Linked DNA regions of Ovis aries. The protein of the gene in region 5 interacts with the protein of the main gene of each other region in a biochemical or structural test. Links are inferred from orthologs where the notes say so. Each region holds a gene or a part of one and is shown on either strand. Other genes may lie near its edges.

Region 1 (4,281 bases), on a different chromosome or scaffold from region 5:
ACAGTCCAACTCTCACATCCGTACATGACCACAGGAAAAACCATAGCCTTGACTAGACGGACCTTAGTCGGCAAAGTAATGTCTCTGCTTTTCAATACGCTATCTAGGTTGGTCATAACTTTTCTTCCAAGGAGTAAGCATCTTTTAATTTCAAGGCTGCAATCACCATCTGCAGTGATTTGGGAGCCCCCAAAAATAAAGTCTGACACTGTTTCCACTGTTTCCCATCTATTTCCCATGAAGTGATGGGACCAGATGCCATGATCTTCGTTTTCTGAATGTTGAGCCAACTTTTCACTCTCCACTTTCACTTTCATCAAGAGGCTTTTTAGTTCCTGTTCACTTTCTGCCTGATACCTCAGCATCCTTCCAATTATTTAAAGAGGGGAGGGACGTGGAAGCTTGAGGTTTCATAAGGAGCGTGCGCCTCTGTCTTTTCAAATCTTAAGAAAGCTTAATCCCTGCAATTTAGATAAATCAGATAGGCATTACCAGGTTAGGGTTAAACCTCCAAGAATGGCTTTGCAATTGATTGCAGAAACAGCAGTTATTAAGTCCTAACTGAGTAATTTGCAGCTTGGTTCACCCCCCACCCCAGCTAATTAAAATGTAATCAGGATTGTCTGGCAATGTGTATTCTGTCAGCAGTTTTTTCTTCCGAAGAGAAATCATGCCAAGAGACCACAAGAAAACCCTTTCACGGGAATTGGCTTGATCTGCACTGTTTCTTTAGGCGCTGAAACTGTAAAACAAATAAATTACAGCGACTGACAGTTCAATTTAAAGAAGGAAGGAAGGGAAGAAGAAAAAGAAAAGATAGTCTTTCTCCCTGGGAACAGGATGCTGTTTTATGTCGTTGTTTGAACAATAGGGTAGCATTGCCTCGGAAGAGCGACCGCAGGGTAGGGCAGGGGGGCAAGAATCCGGGTGGCTGGGAGGGACCCTCTCCAGGGTGTCCGCGGAATTTCAGCGCAGGAGACCACACCCCCCGGTCCCTTCCCCGAAGACCAAGGGGGATGGCGGAGTTCTCTGAAACCTACGGATGCCCCTTCTCTGCGAACACGCAGAACCGCGCGCACTCGGGCGCGTGGAGACTTGGCCAGCGGGTTCACTCTCTGTACATCCCAACTTTTAGCTCTTCATGGGCCATTCCGGGCAAGGTTTCATTAGCTCTCTCCCCCCAGAATGAACGGGACTTAAAGGCTTCGGAGATTCGTCCCAAACTCCACGGTCACGGCAATGGCCCCCATCGCAGCTTAGTGCCCGGGGACCCTTGGCAGGCCCCTTTGACGCCGCGCAAGCGCGAGAGGCGCCTCGTTTATTTCAGAGGGACTCGGCTTAGAAACCCACCGAGGAGCCGCGCGGCCCCTTTCTGGGAGCCGCAGTTTTCCCTGCTGCCAGAAGTTGGGATCTTGTAACAGGTGAACTACTGCAAGGCTAGAGAGGAGACGGCGAGGCCGAGAAGCGAGCACACGAGAGGAATTAGGTTATACGCGTGAATGGTTGCAGAGTGCGCGCGCTCGGATCAGCTGGGGACCGCGGCTGCGAGGCGAGCCTGGAGCCGGCTCGGGAGCGGTTCCCGCGCGCCCATCGGCACCCAGGGTCCCTGAGTCACTCCCCGCTGTGGCTCCTCTCAGCATCCCAGCCATCTACTGATGTCAAGCGTCCTGTCCCCTGAACCCTCTACACACGCACACGAGCCCCTCTACCCCGAAGCCGGCAGAATCTACGACGGTTGGAAGAGATACTGGCTCCGGGAGTCCTCTCGGAACATCCGAACTTGACGTCTCCAAGTCCCTTATCCGTTGCCATCTCTCCCCTTGGTCCCCCCGCCACTCGCTGGCGACACCTAGACGCTCTGGGGCTCCGAACTGGGGCGGCACAGTCACCGGCAGTAACCAGCTCCCCACCCCACCCCACCCCCAACACAAACTCGCTGAAAGATACGACCCTTGGCTGGGGCTCCAAGGGTGGACTCCGCGCTCTCGGCCCGCCGAGTGCGAAAGCAAAGCTCAAGAGAGACAAAAAAGTCTCGGCCGGCGGGCACCTGCGGCGCCAGGGCTGGTCGCGCAGGGTCCTCGGGCGCAGCGGAGCGCGGGCCTCCCTCGCTCTGCCCGCGGTGCGGAGGGCCGGGAGCGCCGGGGGACTTTGAGGGGAGACTGGCCAGCGGCCCGCAGCCCCGCGGCGGAGGTCCCGGGGCAATTCACAAGCCCACAGCCCACCCCACTCCATCCTTGGAAGCCACAAAACCGCTCTCCCTTCCCACAGGAAACCCCCTTTTGGTTTTCCCCGGGGAAGAAGGGAGTTACGTCGGGAGCCGGCGAGGGGCTGCAAAAGGGGGATCGCCCACGGGCCCCCCTCCCCCGAGGTACAATCCACCCCGCGCGTAAAGCCGGACCCCGGCCGGCTGCCGCTGAGCGAGAAGTCTGAGCGGCGAGGCTGGAAGGCGCGCGCCCCGCAGCGCCAGGGGAGGGCCCGGGCGCGCGGTGGTGCGTACCTGGAAGTGCTGGAAGAAGGCGGAGATGCGCGTGATCTGCAGGCTGAGGCACCTGGAGGCGCAGCGGGCGCGCTGTACGCTCCCTGCCGCCAGCGACTCATCCAAGCGCCGGGCAGCGGCCGCGCCGGAGCCGGCAGCCAGGCAGCCCCCGGAGGCCGCCAGCCAGAAGCAGAGGGTCAGGGCCGCGCCGGGCGCCCCGGCAGCCATGGCTGCGGGTCGGAGGGCGCGCGGGCGCCGGGCGCTGGCCGAGGCTCCCAGCTCCGCACCGCCGCCCGGGACCGCGCGGCCGCCGCAACTCCGCTGGCAAAGTTCAATCAGGCCACTCCCGCCCCGCGCCCTCCCCCGGCCCCGCCTCCGGGGGCGGGGCGAGGGTGACAGGCAGCCGCGCCATTGGCTGCGAGGAAAGTGAGTGACGGGGGTGGGCGGGGCGGACGGAGGGCCGTGGGCAGGTCCAAGGGAGCCAGACGCGCGCCCGCCTGCCAAGCGCCTCTGGTGCGGCCCTCTCCTGGGGGTCCGCTTCCCCGCGCTCTGCCTGCGTTCCCTCCTGCCCATCGGGAGTCAACAGCAGGCCGCGGGCCTGGGTGTCAAGTGCTGGCCTGGTCATCAGGCCTGGGACCCCCACCTGGACGTGAGAACAGGCTAAGGATAGAGGGAAGCGCCCCCCCGAACTTATGGGCTTCCATCCCGGCTTCGACTCCAGTGGTCCCAGGTCCTACTCATATGCTTTGGAGTATTTGGGTTTTCCCTTTTCTGAAGAGCGGAAAGGAGCGAATGGACGGGACTGCGCTGGGCGCAATAAGAGGAGACAGGCAGGGACGTTTGACGCCCCTTCTCCCCGTAGATCCCTCCTCCCCTTCCCCCGTTCCTCCTTTCCTCAACCTTTGCCCTCTTCCTTCCTGCTTCCTTTTCTTTCTTCCCTCTCTCCTTCAACTGCGTCCATTGAGACCTTTCACTAGTCCTTTGCTTCCCTCTTAACGAGCATGCATCACCTAGAAATCCATCCAGGCAGGTCGCTAGGAACATTTATGGAGAAGGGGACGACAGAGGAGATGGTTGGATGGCATCATTGACTGGACGCACGTGAGTTTGAGCAAGCTCCAGGAGTTGGTGATGGATAGGGAAGCCTGGCATGCTACAGTCTATGTGGACGCCAAGAGTCGGACATGACTGAGCTACTGAACTGATGACATGGTCACACATACCTCGTCTCCGCAGGTGTAAGGCCTTACCTGGCCTGCACGAGGGACCTATTCAAGTTGGCAATCTTTCCTGCATCCTTCTCTGTGGGGCCCTAAATGGGAAACCTTCAAAAGGGGCTGGCTTTGCCGTTTAGAGCTAAGATGGCGCCTGGCGGAAGAGATGAGGGCGTGGCGTAAGTTGTTTGTTAAAACTTTTTATTGGCTCCCTTGATTTCCGTGCACCTGGACAGAGCATGATCACCATAGAGTCCTGTTAGGATGAAGCACATGACGACTTGACCTTTAACGTGATTGGTGCAACTATGGTATATTAAGATTTGACCTTTAATGTGATTGGTGCAGCTATGGAAAGTCCCTCACAAAACCCCCTTGCTTGCCTATATAAACCAAGAGTTTGTGGCAATAAAGCGGAACTGCTTACACGGAGCCCTTGTTGCTTCTGGTTGTTTTTAGCTCGCTGAGGGGTTGGGTTGCAGACAGCAGGCTCACCTCTTCTCGGGACCCCTCGGCTTTGCTGAGGGAAGTTCCACTGCCTCTCTTTCTGCGCAGTGCCCGCCGCACTTCTCTTTGCCTCAAGTCTTTCGA
Region 2 (3,947 bases), on a different chromosome or scaffold from region 5:
ATTTTAGAAGGCACCCTTAACTGGTAGCTAAAGAAAAACAGGGTGGAACAAAATTCCTGTGGTTAAGGGTATATACAAATGCAAATACCATTTATTTTTCCTCTGCTTTAAACATTCAGTATAATAGTTTTTATCAATGATCAAATAAATATATGTATTTCAAAGAAATATTTTCTCTATGTTCACCTATAAGAAAAGTTTCACATTTAAGTAGACTTTTTACTGTTTAATACTTTAAGTGGCTTTCTATATTTTACTTTTTTTCATAATGCTTAAAGAGGGCTTAAAAGGGCTTTTTTTTCAAAATGCTTAATGCTTAAAGCATTTATAATGCTTTAAAATAAATACTAAATGAGCATTTTTGAAAATAAGAATGAAATACGGAGTTAGACTTTAAAACACCATGCCACTCAAGGGGAAAATATACTAAGGGAAAATATACTAAGGCAAAATATTATTAAAAAATTATTATTTAAAGCCTGTTCTTATGCTACAGAATGTTTTATGGCTTAAATCACTTTGGAAAGGTTTTTTTTTAATGCATATCTTGTATGCTGATAAAATAATAAATAGAGTAAAAAACTATTAGGCACTTTTCAGATTCACAAATATCAAATTCATGACTACAAAGTACTTGCTAGCTAAGGACCAAGAAAATATATAAAGCAGCCAAGTTATAATAAATTTTACCAAATATTTCACAGAGCTATTCTAGTATAAACTAACATTTTCCAAAACCAAAGGAAACTTACCTTATAAGAATGCTTTAAAGAATTAGGTAGTTCATTTGTGAAATCTCTGTTGCTGTCTCTGGTTAAATTATCAACTTTACCTTCATTTCCAGATGCAAACTTTATGAGTAATTGAGATGGTCCCCCCTTAGAACAATTGTGCTTAAGGCTAGATAAACAGGAAACATTTGGATAAGTTCCCCCCAATGAAATACTTCTCTGTAAAAGAGCATGGTTTTTGTTTATCTGTAAATTTGGTCTTTCCAACTGTCCACTGATATTTATTTGATAATCTACATTTTGGGAGGATGGTAAACATGCAGATGTCCTATGCATAAGCTTAATAAACTCTGGATCAGAATTAAGCTCAGTTTCTGACATCTCTGGTTTACAATCACCATTTGCTGCTTCACAATCTAATGCAGTTGCTTTCTGTTGGGTAAAATGCAGTGAAACACAAGAATATCCTTCAGATGGCTGTTCACAGACAGTCTGATTTGGACTAGTATTTGCAATAATGATTTTCTTTTGTAATGAGCCCTTCCTGTGAAGAGGTCGTATGTCTCTTACTTCTCCGGGAGTACAGACTGTCTTGGATAACCGAAGTCCATTGACAGCTGTTGAAAGAAATCCCTTAGCACTAGTGCCATCTTCACTGTGGGCAATTTCACTAGGAGAAATAATAAACTGGTGTGAGGTCTGATAGGATCCTTTGCTTGGAAGAGTACCTGTACTTGTTGGAGAAGTTGGTGGTGTATTTGAAGGACTCCTAGGAAAAATGACTAAGGATGAACAACGTTTTAGTGGAATTTTCGAGTTCCTGCTCACTGGCAATTTCATAATCTCTAGTCCATGATCCAAGTCATCCTGGACAAAGGGAACTGTACTTGTACTTGAGAAAATTTCACATGGAGCAGTATTCCTGTTTGGCACACTTCTATTGGAGGCGCTGTCAGAAGATAAATTTCCACCAAAAAAGGTATCATCAGTTGGTGGAAAAGTATAACCACTGCTGTCACTGATGCTACTGTTGGTGTATGAACCTCCACTGGTGATACTTGTGCAGGACCCATAATCACTACCATTGCTGCTGTAAGACCCATTTTCACTGGCTGAAAAGTTACCAAGACTACCACTGCAAATGGCAGGACTGCTTAAGAGGTTACCATCATCCGTGGCATTCAGTTCGTTATCAACCACAGCACTGCCATCCTTTAAGACACAAGTAAATGAAGCATCATCACCATCAGCTAAGACATTGCCAGACTGAAGACATCCACTGTACCTTGTTGGTTGTAATGATATCTGCAGACAGCTGCTCTTTTTATGAACATTTTCAGGTGAAGGAAAAGATGATCTTTCCCGAGACTTAAGGTTTTCCTTTATTAACGGAGCTAATGCAGTCTGTTTGGGAGTCAGCTTCATTTGAACCACGTTCGCCGTTGAAATCCGTGCTGGTCTCGTGAAGCACATGTGAATGCTGCTATCCAAATCATCTCCGGAGGTTTCTGACAAAGGATAAGTATTGCTTCTTCTGGCTGCAAAGTGCAATCGTAAGCTTTGTGCCATTTGTTCTCATTTCCAAACATGTTAAGGGCTGAGAGTCATAACAAAGATCTCTGTCGGTAGACAGGCTAGAAGCAGCTGCACTGCAGCAAAAGAAAAAATCATTTGTGTGCCTGAAAGAGCTCAGAAGTAGTAGTCTTTATCCTAAGCAAAATCTTAAAGACCAGATAGCATATGAAAGAAAAAGACGGCCCATTCCTGAGACTGACGTTTCCAAAATGTCTTGAATCGCTTGTAGTCAAAATGCCTTCACTTACAAAGCACTTGATTTCCAGCGACCTTTAAGCTGAGCTCAGCTGCAGCACACTGCCTCAAACACTGCCAACCTTGTTTCAATTATACCTTCTCCAATTTGCATGAATGAGTAACACAAGAACAACAATCTTCTAGCATTTCAAGTTGAAACAGTATTTTTTTCACTCCAGCTCTACTAAATGAACATTTAACTCTGTGAATCACGGTGCCTATACTTTCTCCAGCAGAGTTTGACCACTAATATTTTTACCCATAGGGATAGAATTACAGGAAGTTGGTAGGAACGAAACTCCATGTAATTGAGTATCAAATCAAGGATTGCATTTCCAAATAGTGGCCATACTAGGAATCCAGTCAACTTAGTAAATGTAGAAAGGAATATAGACTGTTAATATTTTTAAAAGGAGAAAGTTCAAATGTTTGTATATATTTGGAAACACCAAAACTGCGGGGGTGAATTGAAAGTTTAGCATTAAACCAAACATAAATATTTTAGTTTCCAAAACACTACGTACTTATAAAAAGTGAAAGCTGAAGGATCGAAATACAAAATTTGCCTAGTAATACCATTGCAAAAATTGAGCATAGGTCTGAGAAAAAAAACGTTTGTGAGAAGCTGTCACCAAGCATTTTCTCCTGTAATTTTAAGGCCTTTCCAGCCAAGCAGTACAGTCTTTAAATGATTCCATTTATATTTTGACTATTAAAACTCTGCCAAGAAATAGCCTAAGCAAACATTCCATTAAAAATATATGCAGATTAGACAGAAAAACTATACCCTAATATAGTTTGAGCACACAAGATATTTTATTCCACTGTCTATGCAATTCATTCACTTAAGAGAGTGTTGTGGTAAGTAAAGAAGTCTAAAAAGGATTTAACACATCAAATAAACATATCTCAATGCCAACTCTATTCTGAAAAACTCTAAGAGCTCTTTGCTGGCCCCTACTGGTGCATTGAAACAATTCATTTAGTTGTTTGATATCTATAAAGAAGTATAAACCGTATGGCATATTTCTTTATATAGACAAAGTACATACTTGTTTACATTTTTGAGTACTAGCACTGACCTAAAGATGGAATTACTTACTACTGCTGATAAAGCTCCCGCAGGAGAGAACAGTAAACTGTTTGTCCTTTTAGACGTTGTGATTTTGTATATATATACATTTTTTTCTGCTTTGTATTTATTTAACCTTTACTTTATTTTCAGTTTACTAGGTAATAAAAGTTTAATATTTTAATTTCTCCCCTAAATGTCATAGACCAAGGTTGGTATTCTATTTGAAAGAAACACATTTATTTTAAAATAATACTCTAGGGTATATTTAAACTTCTTACCTGAATTTTACAGCTGGAACTCCAGTAATAAATATATACTGGCTCATTCAT
Region 3 (3,864 bases), on a different chromosome or scaffold from region 5:
GAGGCTGAAACGGCCTCGGGATGACGCATCTGGTCACAGGTCCTGGTGACAGCAGGGGGTAGGGTGGCTCTGGGCCCCCTGCAGTGGCGGCTGGGCGGGGCTGCTGGGAGGTGACTGCAGCCTCTCCAGGTACTACTGAGAACAGGGGTTTTCACACCTGGGTGAGCCAGCATCTTGCTGGACGCCGCCCCATCAGGCCATAATGGGCACAGTGGGGGTGGGGGGTGGGGACAGCAGGTGGGGGAAGGGAGCCTGTCCAAAGCCTGGCCTGGGCCTAGGGATTCTGCCTTTGGCTCCTCAGTATTCCCACTGCAGAATTAAAGGGAAGGGGAGGGGGGGGGGCCAGCGATGTCCTCTCTGGCTCGGACCCCTGTCCTCGTGTGGCAGTGGGTGTGTATGGGGGTGCAGGGCCAGTGGCCTTGGGGTGCACCGACTCGCCCTGTCTTCTCTCAGCACCAGCCATCCAGGCAACCTGCTCAGGGCATGCTTCCTCCTGGTGGCCATAGCTCCATCCCTGACCACCAGCGCTCAGGTGGCCAACCCCTGTCCTTGCCTCCCTCCAGCCTGTAGCGCTGGATTCTTCCTCACTGGTACTGGCCGTTCCAGTGTGTACTGCCCTTACTGGCCCTCATTCCCAGGTGGGTCCCCGGGGGTCCCAGCCGAGCACAGGTTCTGGAAAGCCCCTGAAAGGCAAAGCGCCGGGAGTGTCTTCTCTGAGCTGAGGGTGCTGGGTGAGGGCTGCGGCGGAGAGGGGCACCCATGGAGACCAGACAGACAGGGACAAAGTGCAAGAGGCCAAACTTGGGCGGAAAGACAAGAGCGGAGGAGACGTCAGGGTCGGGACTCCCAGGTCCGGGGGCCGGGCGAAGCCAGGGGCGGGGGCCGGGGACCCTCCCGGTGGCCGCGGCGGCGCTGGGCCCCGGCCGCCTTCCCTCCCCCAGCCCTGATTGGCAGGCGGCCTGCGACCAGCCGCCGCGAGCGCCACAGCGCCCCGGGCGCCCAGGCGAACGCGAACGGCCCCCTGCGGGAGTAGAAGGGGCGGGGGGGGGGGGATTGGCTATCGGCTATATATATAGCGGCTCGGCGGCTGCGGGCCCAGCGCGCAGGGAGGCGCGCACCGCTCCGCAGGGTCCCAGCCTGGGCCGTGCGCCCTGCCACCGCTGCCTGCCTCTCCATGCAGCCCAGGTAGCTCCCGGCGTCCGGGGGCCCCGTCGCTCGCCTCCCGCTTTCCCCGCCCCGGCCGGGCACTACCTGCCCGGCCCAGGCAGTGCGCTCCCGCAAGCCCCCCACCCACAGACGAGCTCGCCCGCCGGCTTCCCGGGCGCACTGACCCACCCGCGGACGCACGGCCCGAGGGCGGGGATGGCGGGGCCCGGGGCGGCCGCGGCGGCGCTGCTCCCGGCGGTGCTGCTGGCCGTGCTGGCGCCCTGGGCTGGCCGAGGGGGCGCCGCCGCGCCCACCTCCCCCAACGGCACTCTGGAGGCCGAGCTGGAGCGCCGCTGGGAGAGCCTGGTGGCGCGGTCGCTGGCGCGCCTGCCGGTGGCCGCGCAGCCCAAGGAGGCTGCCGTCCAGAGCGGCGCCGGCGACTACTTGCTGGGCATCAAGCGCCTGCGGAGGCTGTACTGCAACGTGGGCATCGGCTTCCACCTCCAGGTTCTCCCCGACGGCCGCATCGGCGGCGTGCACGCGGACGCGAGTGACAGTGAGTGGGGCGGGCCGGACGGGGAGGGTCGGGCCCCAGGGCAGCGGCCGCCCCTTCCAGCTCGCACAGGGAGGTCTCGCCGGCACCTGCTCTTGGGCTATGGGAACCGGAGCGGACTTGGGGTCCGGTCCCCTCCGGCGTAGAGACGCCGGGGACGCCAACACTCTTGGCTTTGCGCAACCCGGCGGCGGAGCCCGCCTCCCGCCTTCAGAAGTCCGGAATCTGGGCGCCGGATTCCAGCGCCTTCGCTCGTGGGCACCAGGAGCGCGGCGCAGCCACCGGCAACTCGCGGGGGGCCGGCCCGAGCGCCCACGTCGGGGCCGGACTCGGGGGCTCCAGGAGGCCACCTCGCTCCTGCAGTCCCGGACTGGGCGCGGCCGGCGCGGGGCCGGGACAGGGGCCGAGTCCGCGGGGCTGCGGGGGCCCTTGGGGAGCGGCCTGCACCACGGAGGGAGCAGGGCCATTTAGATCTCCACCCCCAGAAGTGGGGGTCCCGGAGGGGCGCAGGCGGAGGAGGGGGCCAGGTGGGAAGCTCGGGCTGAGGGTCCGGTGCCCGGGAATAACCCGCGCCCTGCCCCCAGGCCTGCTGGAGCTGTCGCCGGTGGAGCGCGGGGTGGTGAGCATTTTCGGGGTGGCCAGCCGGTTCTTCGTGGCCATGAGCAGCCGGGGCAGGCTCTACGGCTCGGTGAGTACCGTGGGCCCCGCCGAGCCGGGCAGCATCGTGACGCTTCCAGGCCACCCGACGCCAGGATCGTGGAGCTGCGGTGGGGGTCGCGGGACTGAAAGTAACCCCCGCCTCCTGAGGCAGTGCCGCTTACCCTTGTTGTTCAGTCATCCAGTCCTATTGGATTTCTTTGGCGATCCCATAGACCCTCGCCTGCCAGGCTCCCCTGTCCGTGGGATTTCCCAGACCAGAATCCTGGAGTGAATAGGTTGCCAGTTTCCTTCTCCAAAGGATCTTCCTGAACCTGGGGGTCCAACCTGCATCTCCTGCATTGATAGGAGGATTCTTTACCACTGAGCCACCTGGGACACCCACCAGCCCAAAGGAGAGGCCCAGCCCCAAGACAGGGACAGTGCTCCCGCCATCCTTGAGCGGTCATTTGCCAGTGGGTCAAGGGTGCCCTTGGGAGCCGTTGCCTGGAGCCCCTGGGGCAGGTCCCAGTGGGCAGGACGGCAGTCTTTAGGCAGACCCAGTGAGGATGCACTGTTCTGGCTTCCAGGTGCCGGGCAGGTGCTAGGGACTGGCGGGGTCCCTCTCCTCACCCTGTGAAAGTCTGGATACCCTGACTTCTCAGGAGGGACCCCCCAGCCAAGGAGGGGCTGGGAGAGAGAGGAGTCCCTGACCACTGCCCCAGAGGTCCCTTGGCCCGCGATGGCCCCCTGACCCGGCTCCTCCTTCCCTCCCAGCCTTTCTTCACCGACGAGTGCAAGTTCAAAGAGATCCTTCTCCCCAACAACTACAACGCCTACGAGTGCTACCGGTACCCCGGCATGTTCATCGCCCTGAGTAAGAACGGGAAGACCAAGAAGGGGAACCGGGTGTCCCCCACCATGAAGGTCACCCACTTCCTACCCAGGCTGTGATCCTTAGCGCCCCCCGGGAGGGGAGTACCTAGGGTCCCCTTGGTGCACTTTCTTCAAATGGACAGTTGAATGCAAGAGAAGGTGTAAGATATTTAAATTAATTATTTAAATGTGTATATATTGCCACCAAATTATTTATGGTTCTGTGGATGTGTTTTGTATTTTTCTGAAAGAACAAAAGCAACTCCCCCCTCCCTGCCCCGAACCAAAGCCTGACTTTTGCTGGTAAAACAGTAGAGACCCTTCCACTGGGTTTATTCCACTTGTTGGAAAGTTGTCACAAGTGGCTGCTGCTGCTCCATGTTTTAAAACCGATGATGTCAGCGTCCGACATCAACCCCCGCTTTTGCACTGTCCCCTTTGGTTTGGGAGTGAGCATCCTTGTGCCTGGAAAGGTTTCCGGGGGCTTTGGAAGCCAGTGAAGGAAGCTCCCAGGCTTGGCTTCCTTCCTCGCATCCTGCAGTGCCCCACTCCCTTTCTCCCTGAAGATATTCCTTGGGACGTATCGGTTTACTTCGGGTGCAGAAAGCGCACTGGCGAGGCCACCGCTGCCGCTCCGTTTTTAGATCTGCCGT
Region 4 (4,288 bases), on a different chromosome or scaffold from region 5:
GGTCCCTGTGCTCCTCCCTTCCTGCTCCCTCACCCTTTTGTGCAGCCACACAGTCCCAGTCTAAGAGTGACAGTCATAGTCTATCACCGTTGTCATGAATAACAGCTTACATTTATTAAACATTTAGAACGTATCCAGCAGCACAGGAGTTGAAGGCAAGGTTGGATTTGAAGCCCACGTATATTGTCTTACATTAATCCTCTCCTTTATCCCCCTAGAATAACCCCATTTGGTGGAGATATTATTACTCCCACTTTACAGATGGTGACACTAAGGCTCAGAGAACTAGCTGGCTGGGGGCGATACACAACTAATACATACGGGCTTCAAACCCAACCTTGCCTTCAACCGCTGGGCTGCACTTCAACTGCCTGCTGGTCCCATGCACGGTGTGAAACACAGCCTCTCAGCCAGGAGAAGTCTACCTGGGAACCTCAGCCAGCTGCTACCAATTCAGGAGAGCCCGGGGAATCCACAGACACATGGAAGGGCCATGCCTGGAGTCTGACGCCAGGGTGATGTCCCTCCAGTCCTCTGCAGGATATGTCCTTCCTCCACTCTGGAATCCAGCCTCTCAAATTCTCTAACATTTTCTCCTGCAGGCTGCCAGGGCCCGAGGAGGGGTCACGGAGGAAGGTGGCTGTCGTGTGGAAGTTCAGCAGCTGTGTGAGATCTGGAGTGTGTGGCTGAGGATGGCTGTCTCACCACAAGACCTTCCTTCCTCCCCGTCTCCTCAGTCATCTACACGCCATACCCAAGGTCTGGAAGACCTTCTCTTGGGGGGTGTCACTTCCTGAACCCTCTTCCTCTACACAGTCCTAATTCTGAGCCTGGCTCTAACTCCAGTCTCGGGGTGGGGGTGGGGGTAGAGGGGGTTCTTGCAGGAAGCAACCCACAGCCTGGGGTTGCAGACACATCATCTCACACTTGGAGGTGGGCGAATGGAGGGCAGAGCTGGGGGGCCCATCCGGCCACAGCACAGGCACGCACTCAGTGGAATCACTCTCTGAAGGATCTGGGGTTTTTCAAAATCCCCCAACACACTCTTTCCCAGAAGCAGCCAAGGTCAGGTCTGGGACAGCAAAGAGGCAGGAAATAGTAGCCGCTCCTGGCTCCCTCCAGCCACAGGACGCAGGACACAAAGAGCTGGACCCCAATTTGGCTGCGTCCTCTTGAAGAGTACCTGACACGAAGCAGCGAGGCTGGGCTTTCTGGGGCCAAGCTCTGGAGAATGTGCTTCCAAAGGACAAGGGGAAGGCTGGCCTCTTTCCCTGCCCTGGCTTTGGGAGTCTGCCCACGCACACAGACCTCCAAAATTCAGTTTCAGGACAAAAGAAGCGGCGGGAAAAACATCCACTGCCTCCTCTCGGGCTTTTCCAAACCAAACAAGACCACCTTCCTCCCTGGCCCCAAGAGAGAGATGAGTAGGCCCGGCTCTGCTCCAAAACCAGCCCTACGCCAACAGCTGCCTAAGTTCTACTTGGGGAACCCAAAGGTTCCTTTGTAAGTAGGAGCCCGGCCGTGAGGCCCAGAGGTGCACCAGATTGCTCTTTTTGGAAAAACGGTGCATCTGGTCTGGCCTCCGGTTCCGCGGCTGCCGGGGAGAGGACACTGCCTCGGCCGACACCGCTCCCGGGGTGTCGGGGGACCCGACGCCGGCCCCGCTGGTCTCCAACTCGCTAGGATTTTTAGGCCTCTGGGCAAAGCGCCTGGAACACTCCCCCCCTTGCTGGGGGAGGGGGTGTCCTGTCAGGTGACTGAGGACCCGGATGCCCCCCGCCCCCGGTGACCACCCTGGCCGAGGCGGGGGCGGGGCCCGAAAGTTCGCCGGAGTCTCTCCAGCGGCGGCCCCCGGGCGCGCGCAAGCCGGGGCGCAGACCCCGCGCCGCCCGAGCGCGCGCGCCCGCGCAGCAGGCCCGGGGAGCCGGGGGTGTGCAGCGAGGGGGAGCGCACTTACTGGCCCCCTCGATCTTGTCGGCGCCTCGGCTCCACGTGATCTGCCGCGTCTCCAGCTTGACCTGGAAGGTCTTCCGCTCGGGCCGCTGCGACTTCTTGGAGTAGAACAAAGTCATGACGGTGCCCACCTCGAGGCTGCGGCAGAGGTGCACCACCTCGGCGTCCGAGGGCGCGCCGGGCCCGCAGCCATTGGCGCAGGGGGACGCGGCGCCCGCCATGGCTCGGGTGCCGGGGGCGGCGGCGGCGGCGCAGGCCCGGCGGGAGCGAGCTGGCGGCGGCGGCGGCGGCGCAGGCGGCGGGCGAGCGGACCCCGGCGGCGGCGGCTCCTGCGGGCGGAGACGGGGCGGGGCCTGAGCGGGGGCGGGGCGGTCCTGCAGGCCCCGCCCCGGCCCGCGCGCCGGGAACAAAGGCGCCCGCGCGCCCGTGGGGAGGACCCCCGCCCGCCGCGCCTGCGCCCCGAGACCCCCCGGGCAGGCCCCGCGTCAGGGCACGCGCGCGCGCGCCTCCCGCAGTCCGCCAGCCGGGCCCACGGCCCCGCGGGGTCTCTTCGCGCCGCCCCGGACACAGCCCGGCTGCCACGGCCGGTCCCGTCACGCGCGGCAGCCTCGCGCCGGCCCGGCCGTCTGTCGCGCGCGCACAGGCGGCTGCCCAGCCCACCGTCCCGCACAGGCCCGGCCGCGGCGGCTCCTTCCGAAGCCCGCTAGCGGGGCGACGCCCGCGCGGCCACCGGGAAAAGAAGTGCAGGCCCGGGGCGCCTCCCGGGGCCCGCCGGTCAAACCCGGTACCTGGGAGGGCTGCCCGGCTGAGGGAACCAGGCCAGGCCGGGCCGCCTTAGACCGGCGGCGGCGGCGGCGGCGGCGGCGGCGGAGGAGGAGGCGAGTCCTCCGCGCGTCCTCTCCAGGGCGGGGCGGGGGCGGGGCCACCCGGTGATTGGTCGGCAGGCTCTGACGGACAGTCTGAGTGTCCCGCCTCTCCCCCCTCCCTTCCCCGGGCAGCCGGGGGCGGCCCCGCCGGCAGCGCCTCCGACCGTCGGACCCACGATCTTCCTGGCCCTGCGGCCGAAGTGGCCTCGCGGGTGTGTGTGGGGAGTCCCGTTATTCGGAGTAGCCCACAGGCCTGAGCATCCCCTGCGAGCCCTCCAGTGGTCTTGGCCTGGCCATACACTTCGCACCCCCACGCCGCGAGTATCCACGCGACTAGGATGGGGACTCAGGCCCTACGGCTCCGCACCATTCCTGCAAATGCTCTCCCGAGCTTTGGTTTTCCCGGGCCGACTCTATCCCTGTTTTCCTCCTCGGTCTCTGGCCGCTGCCTTTCGACACCTCAGCAACTTCTCTTGCTCAGGGGTGGGTCCTGAGTCAGTTCCCAAGGCGGCCTGACCTCTCAGCGTCACTGCCCCCCGCCCCCTGCCAAATTCAGGCACCCGAGCGCCGAAGCTCTATCCCTCCCTGCATCCCGTTACCTGTTCCACAACCCCACGTAGCACAGACATCTCACATCTCTCTTCAAATTGCTTCTCCCATGGTCTTCAGTTTCTCAGAACATGCCTCTGGTAAGGTGCTCGGGCTAAAACCGATGGAGACAGCCTTGGTTCCTCTCTCTCTCTCCCTCAACCCCACAGCACTCCGTCAAGTCCCATTCCGTCTGCCGTCCCATGTCTCCGCTCTGCCCACAACCTCAAGGCCCATCTTCTCTCATCCAGACTATTTACCCTCCTTGGTTTTGCCTGCATGTATTCCCTATGCTCTAGTTTGTTTGTTTCTTTTTAAATTTGGCTGTACCGGGTCCTAGTTGCAGCATGCAGGATCTTTTAGTTGGGGGCTGTGGGATCTAGTTCCCTGACCAGGGATCGAACCCAGGCCCCCTTTGTTGGGAGTGCAGTCTTAGCCATTGGACCACTAGGGAAGGCCCTATGCTCTGGTCTTCAAAATGAAATTAAATCCTGACTCCCTACCTCCAGGCTCAAATCATCCAGAACTTGCCATGGCACACAAAATCCCCTACCTGGCCCAGCAGGTCCAGCATGGTCTGGCCCCTTTCTATCCCACTTCATCTCTCACCACCTCCCTTTCATTCCATTCTCCAGGCACAAGTTCTTTTGGTGATTATTCGATTAATCTGTACTCTTTGTGTTGCTACAGCCACTCCCTAGACGCACCCCGGGCCGTCTAATTGCCCTGTCACAGAACACCGCCCAAGCTAAAGACACCTTCAGTCACAGTAGAGCCTGTCTGACGGATGTTGAGCCAGACAAAGCAGGACAGCATACTGCATTTTACAGGTAAGAGGCCCAGCAGGGCACCCAGCTGATGCTAGAGAAAGATCCAAGGAG
Region 5 (4,188 bases):
ACCCCGGCAGCTTCCCAGTCCCCAAACACCTGGCATTCCTCGGGGTGGGGGGGGGGGGGGGGGGGGGGGGGGGGGGGGCGGTCCACGGCAGCAGCCCTGGAGGTCTTCCCAGCCATTTGGGGGCGGGGGCGGGGAGGGGGTAGAATACGTAAACAAGTCATTAGGGAGGCAGGCCATCCTCCCTAAGGTCTCTGGGTCTTCCCCACCAACACCACCAAGGGCTTCCCCTGGGTCACTGGAAGGAAGGCTGATGACCCAGGCTTGGGGCGGGGGGGGGCGGGGGGGGTGTAATTAACCAGACGGAGGCACGTCCCAAGGGGCCCTGCTACTTAGCCTTTAAACAAGCCTCAGGGAGGAAACGGGGAGCCCGGGCCAATAGTTCGGGGGTGGGGGGTGGGGGAGGATGGGGAATGGCCACTTTCTGCCCCACAGTCTCAAGGCTAAGGTTGTATAATTTAGACTGTTTTCCAAAAAAAGCGCAGGGCCGGAGGTGCAGAGGATAGAGCGCCATCTGCGGAGGAAACAGTCACCTTAATTACCATGTCTAGAGAAAGTGCGATTTCATTACAGCCTCCGAACGACCGCCCAAAGGAGGAAACCAGAGAAGTGTTTTCAATTTGAAAGAGGCTGGAGAGGAGAGGGTGAGAGACCAACTCTCCCCACCCTCTCGCAACTTTGGAACCAGAAAGCCCTTTCCTGCCTCAAAGGGCAGAACCAAAAACCCTCAACAGGCCAACCCCTTTCAAACCTGCGGCCGGCGCGGACTTGGTAAAACGCCCCACGTTAGCCTCCGGGAGCGGCCGCCCAAAGAAAGAACTCCTTCAAAACACCAAGGGAGCCACAGCCCGGGCCCCCCTCCCACGCCCAAGCCGCTGCGCCCCGGGCTTGCTCCAGGGAGGGTGGAAAAGGGGACGCGTGACGCCACCGCCGGGCGGCCCGAGACCCGGCGGCGGGCTCCGGACAGGGTCAGACACTCCCGCCGCTCCGGCTCTAACTGAAAAGGGAGGAGGCTGCAATGCTCCGGTTCCAGAAACTTCTGTCAGGGCCAGCTCTGGGTCAGACCGGTGGCCAAAGAGGCCACCACTTATCAGAGGAGATATTGTCATCCCCTAAACCTCCTCTCGCCGGCAATGCCCCTTTCCCGCACGAGCCAGAAAGCGCCAGCACAGCCTAAGTACCCTGGCATCCAGGGTAACTTCTCTCCCCCAGTCCCAGCGCCTCGTACCCAAGTCTTAAGAAAAAATCGTAAAGAGCGAGGTGGTGAGGACAAGTTATAGGATCCCTGTTTCGATCCGGGGGAGGGGGCAGGGAGGAACAGGGACGTTCAAGCGGCTGCGGTGTACCCGGGTGGGGTGAAACGGAACCAGATGCGGCGGCTACATCTGGAAAATGGGGCGGGGGTGGGGGGAGTGGTGATGGGGAGGTGGTGGGGAGACACGGCGGAAACTTTGAACAGGGCCAAAGCCTCTGGGTCCAGACAAGAGATGCAGGTTTCACCGCTCCCCAAGCCCTCCACTCCCCAACCAGAGGCATCTGACTGCTTCCATAGGATCTGGGTTAAATGATCGCATCTACAACGTCAATAAATTCCTCTGCAAACGAAGGTTCCAGCCCCCCTCTTCTCCTCACCCCAAACATAGCGGGAAAGGGGAGCGGGAAGGGGGCAGAGGGTTCTGGGCCCGCGAAGCAACAAGCGCCGGTGCCGAGCGAACCGCACCGGACAAAACCCTCATCCCTTCCCCCACCTCCTCGAACCAGATAGGAACTGACCAATCCCTTCCCCCAGACCCCGTAATGGGGCTTAACCTCACCCGCTGGGCGCCCTCCCCTTCCCCAAACTTCCGACCCTTTCAGAGACGGACTAAGTCGGAGATCAGCGCCTCTCGAAAAAGGGAATTCCTTTCTCGCTCTTCGCTGAAGCAGCTTCAGCCATTTGGTGACGACACCCCCCTTTAAAACCGACTGGAAGAGAAGCGAACCGACCCCTCCACTTCCTTCCCCTTTCAGGCCCCCAACCGCCCACCCGCCTGCGGCAGTGACCCCAGACTTTCCCGGAGATGGAAAAGGACTTAGGAGGACCCCGGGTTTTTTCTTTTTTCTTTTTTTTAGCGTTCCACCCAAAGCTACCTGCTGGATCGCGGAGACTCCCCATGGGTGGACTAAAAGGAGATGGTGTGGAACGCAACACACACACACACACACACCCCACCGCGCTGCCCGCCCCCGCCTGCCTCCCCAGGCCCAGGAAACCCAGGACCGCCGCCGCCTCGGCCCCGGGCCCTGTCCCTCCCCGGACTCACCGCGGAGCCGCCGCCGCCTCGCCAGCTCCCCAGCGCGAGTTGGCGGAAAAGTTGGGCGGCGGGACGGGCGCGGGGAGGGGGCGCAGAAGGCGACGCGAGCGGAGGGAAGGGAGGGGAGACAAAAGGGGGGCGCCGGGAGCTGGGCAGGGAGCCGGGGGTGGAGAGGGGCGGGTAACGAGCGGAGGGAGGCGCCGGACCCGACTGCGCTGCGGCGGGGAGAGCGCGCGGCCGGGAGGCTCCGGCGCCGGGGGCCCGCCCGGGACGCGGAGCCCGCCCCGGATCCGGGGGCGCCGCGGCTCTTACCTCACTCGGCGCTGCGGTTCCGCCTCTGGAGAGTCCGCCGTGGCTCGTGCGGGCGGGCGGGCGTCCGCGTCCCTGGCTCCGGCCCGCCGCCCCCGGGCTCCGCTCGGGTCCTGGCGGGGCCGCAGGAGCCCCCGCGGCCGGCGCTCGACTGCCGGTGGCGCTCGGGGCTCGGCGCCTCCAGCCCGGGCGGGAACAATGGAGCCGAAGCTGGTGCCCCGGAGGCGGGGCGGGGGGAGGGCTCCTGTCCGCCGCCCGGGGTCTCCAGACCCTGTGGGCCCCCCCTCTCCAGCACCGGGCGGCGGCCCTCAAGCTTCTGGCAGCCCGAGCTCCATCGCCTGGCGGGGGCCCCGGCGCCGCGGCGTGCCCGACTGCCGCCCTGGTCCCCTGCGCCCGGCGGGGCGCCCCTCGGACCGGAGAAAAGTCCTCGGGCTCCGCCGCTCTTCCAGCTGCGGCGCGCGCTCTCGGCCGGGGAAGGCGAGGTCGCCGCAATGCGCTAAGCGGAGTCTCGGGGCTGTCCGGACGTCGCCGCCCAGCTCTGGGCACAGCCCGGGCTCCTCCGCGCGCTGCGGCTGGACCAGACTTCGGGCTCCCGCGTCGCGCCGCAGCCACAGCCGAGGCCGCCGCGCCAGTGCCCGCAGGAGCGCTCCGAGCGCTATGCGCCGGCAAGGCGCGAGGGCTCCTTCTCTCACTCCCACCCCACGCTGGTCCCACCTCCTCCTCCTCCCCCTGCCGCTGCCTGCTGGGCCTTGTAGTTCTGAGCCGAGGGCCCCCGAGAAGGGGGGAGCGGGTTGAGTCGCCCTGCGCTCTGCTGCTCCTTTGCCTCAGTCTGTCTGGCCTCCTTTGACGCGCGCCCGCCCCTCCAACTGAGCCCCTCCCGGAGGGCGCACGAATTTCGGGCTGTGGACGGATGAGCAGTTGGAGGGATGGAGATGAGACCCTGAAGCCCTCAGGTTGCACACGGTAGCACTTTGGACTCTGACCGAGTGCCCTGGGGAAACGATGTTCTCGCTCTGTATCTCAGTTTTCACATCTGTAAAAGAGGATAGCGAAGAGATCAAACCAGTCAATCCTAAAGGTCAGTTCAGTTCAGTCGCTCAGCCGTGTCCGACTTTTTGCCACCGCATGGACTGTAGCACGCCAGGCTTCCCTGTCCATCATCAACTCCCCGAGCTTGCTCAAACTCATGTCCATCGAGTTGGTGATGCCATCCAACCATCTCATCCTCTGTCGTCCCCTTCTTCTGCCTTCAATCTTTGCCAGCATCAAAGTCTTTTCCAATGACTCAGTTCTTCGCATCAGATGCCCAAAGTATGGGAGCTTCATTTTCAGGATCAGTCCTTCCAGTGAGTATTCAGGACTGATTTCCTTTAGGATAGACTGGTTGGATCTCCTTGCAGTCCAAGGGACTCTCAAGAGTCTTCTCCAACACCGCAGTTCAAAAGCATCAACTCTTCGGTGCTCAGCTTTCTTCATGGTCCAACTCTCACATCCATACATGACTACTGGAAAAACCATAGCTTTGACTAGATGGATCTTTGTTGGCAAAGTAATGTCTCTGCTCTTTTATTTGCTGTCTAGGTTGGTT

The links.
Region 1: the proteins of FGFR1 (region 5) and anosmin-1 form a complex in vitro, tested with the Homo sapiens proteins (3 studies listed by BioGRID and IntAct, with this or other methods). The link is inferred for Ovis aries from reciprocal best matches to the Homo sapiens genes FGFR1 and ANOS1.
Region 2: the proteins of FGFR1 (region 5) and NEDD4 form a complex in vitro, tested with the Homo sapiens proteins (2 studies listed by BioGRID and IntAct, with this or other methods). The link is inferred for Ovis aries from reciprocal best matches to the Homo sapiens genes FGFR1 and NEDD4.
Region 3: the proteins of FGFR1 (region 5) and FGF4 form a complex in vitro, tested with the Homo sapiens proteins (2 studies listed by BioGRID and IntAct, with this or other methods). The link is inferred for Ovis aries from reciprocal best matches to the Homo sapiens genes FGFR1 and FGF4.
Region 4: the proteins of FGFR1 (region 5) and PLCG1 form a complex in vitro, tested with the Homo sapiens proteins (4 studies listed by BioGRID and IntAct, with this or other methods). The link is inferred for Ovis aries from reciprocal best matches to the Homo sapiens genes FGFR1 and PLCG1.

Annotation. Positions count from the first base shown.
Region 1 is NC_056080.1:1,335,053-1,339,333, reverse strand, and holds the start of anosmin-1, read right to left. Parts: upstream 2,801-4,281; 5' UTR 2,705-2,800; coding exon 2,498-2,704; intron 1-2,497. UniProt on the Homo sapiens protein: Has a dual branch-promoting and guidance activity, which may play an important role in the patterning of mitral and tufted cell collaterals to the olfactory cortex. Chemoattractant for fetal olfactory epithelial cells.
Region 2 is NC_056060.1:52,607,912-52,611,858, reverse strand, and holds the start of NEDD4 (E3 ubiquitin-protein ligase NEDD4), read right to left. Parts: upstream 2,801-3,947; 5' UTR 2,301-2,800; coding exon 753-2,300; intron 1-752. UniProt on the Homo sapiens protein: E3 ubiquitin-protein ligase which accepts ubiquitin from an E2 ubiquitin-conjugating enzyme in the form of a thioester and then directly transfers the ubiquitin to targeted substrates. Specifically ubiquitinates 'Lys-63' in target proteins.
Region 3 is NC_056074.1:43,392,260-43,396,123, reverse strand, and holds FGF4 (fibroblast growth factor 4), read left to right. Parts: upstream 1-1,362; coding exon 1,363-1,702; intron 1,703-2,283; coding exon 2,284-2,387; intron 2,388-3,112; coding exon 3,113-3,289; 3' UTR 3,290-3,364; downstream 3,365-3,864. UniProt on the Homo sapiens protein: Plays an important role in the regulation of embryonic development, cell proliferation, and cell differentiation. Required for normal limb and cardiac valve development during embryogenesis.
Region 4 is NC_056066.1:69,782,727-69,787,014, reverse strand, and holds the start of PLCG1 (1-phosphatidylinositol 4,5-bisphosphate phosphodiesterase gamma-1), read right to left. Parts: upstream 2,801-4,288; 5' UTR 2,742-2,800; exon of another isoform or gene 2,389-2,741; intron 2,283-2,388; 5' UTR 2,175-2,282; coding exon 1,958-2,174; intron 1-1,957. UniProt on the Homo sapiens protein: Mediates the production of the second messenger molecules diacylglycerol (DAG) and inositol 1,4,5-trisphosphate (IP3). Plays an important role in the regulation of intracellular signaling cascades.
Region 5 is NC_056079.1:32,688,206-32,692,393, forward strand, and holds the start of FGFR1 (fibroblast growth factor receptor 1), read right to left. Parts: upstream 2,801-4,188; 5' UTR 2,604-2,800; intron 2,342-2,603; exon of another isoform or gene 2,301-2,341; intron 1-2,300. UniProt on the Homo sapiens protein: Tyrosine-protein kinase that acts as a cell-surface receptor for fibroblast growth factors and plays an essential role in the regulation of embryonic development, cell proliferation, differentiation and migration.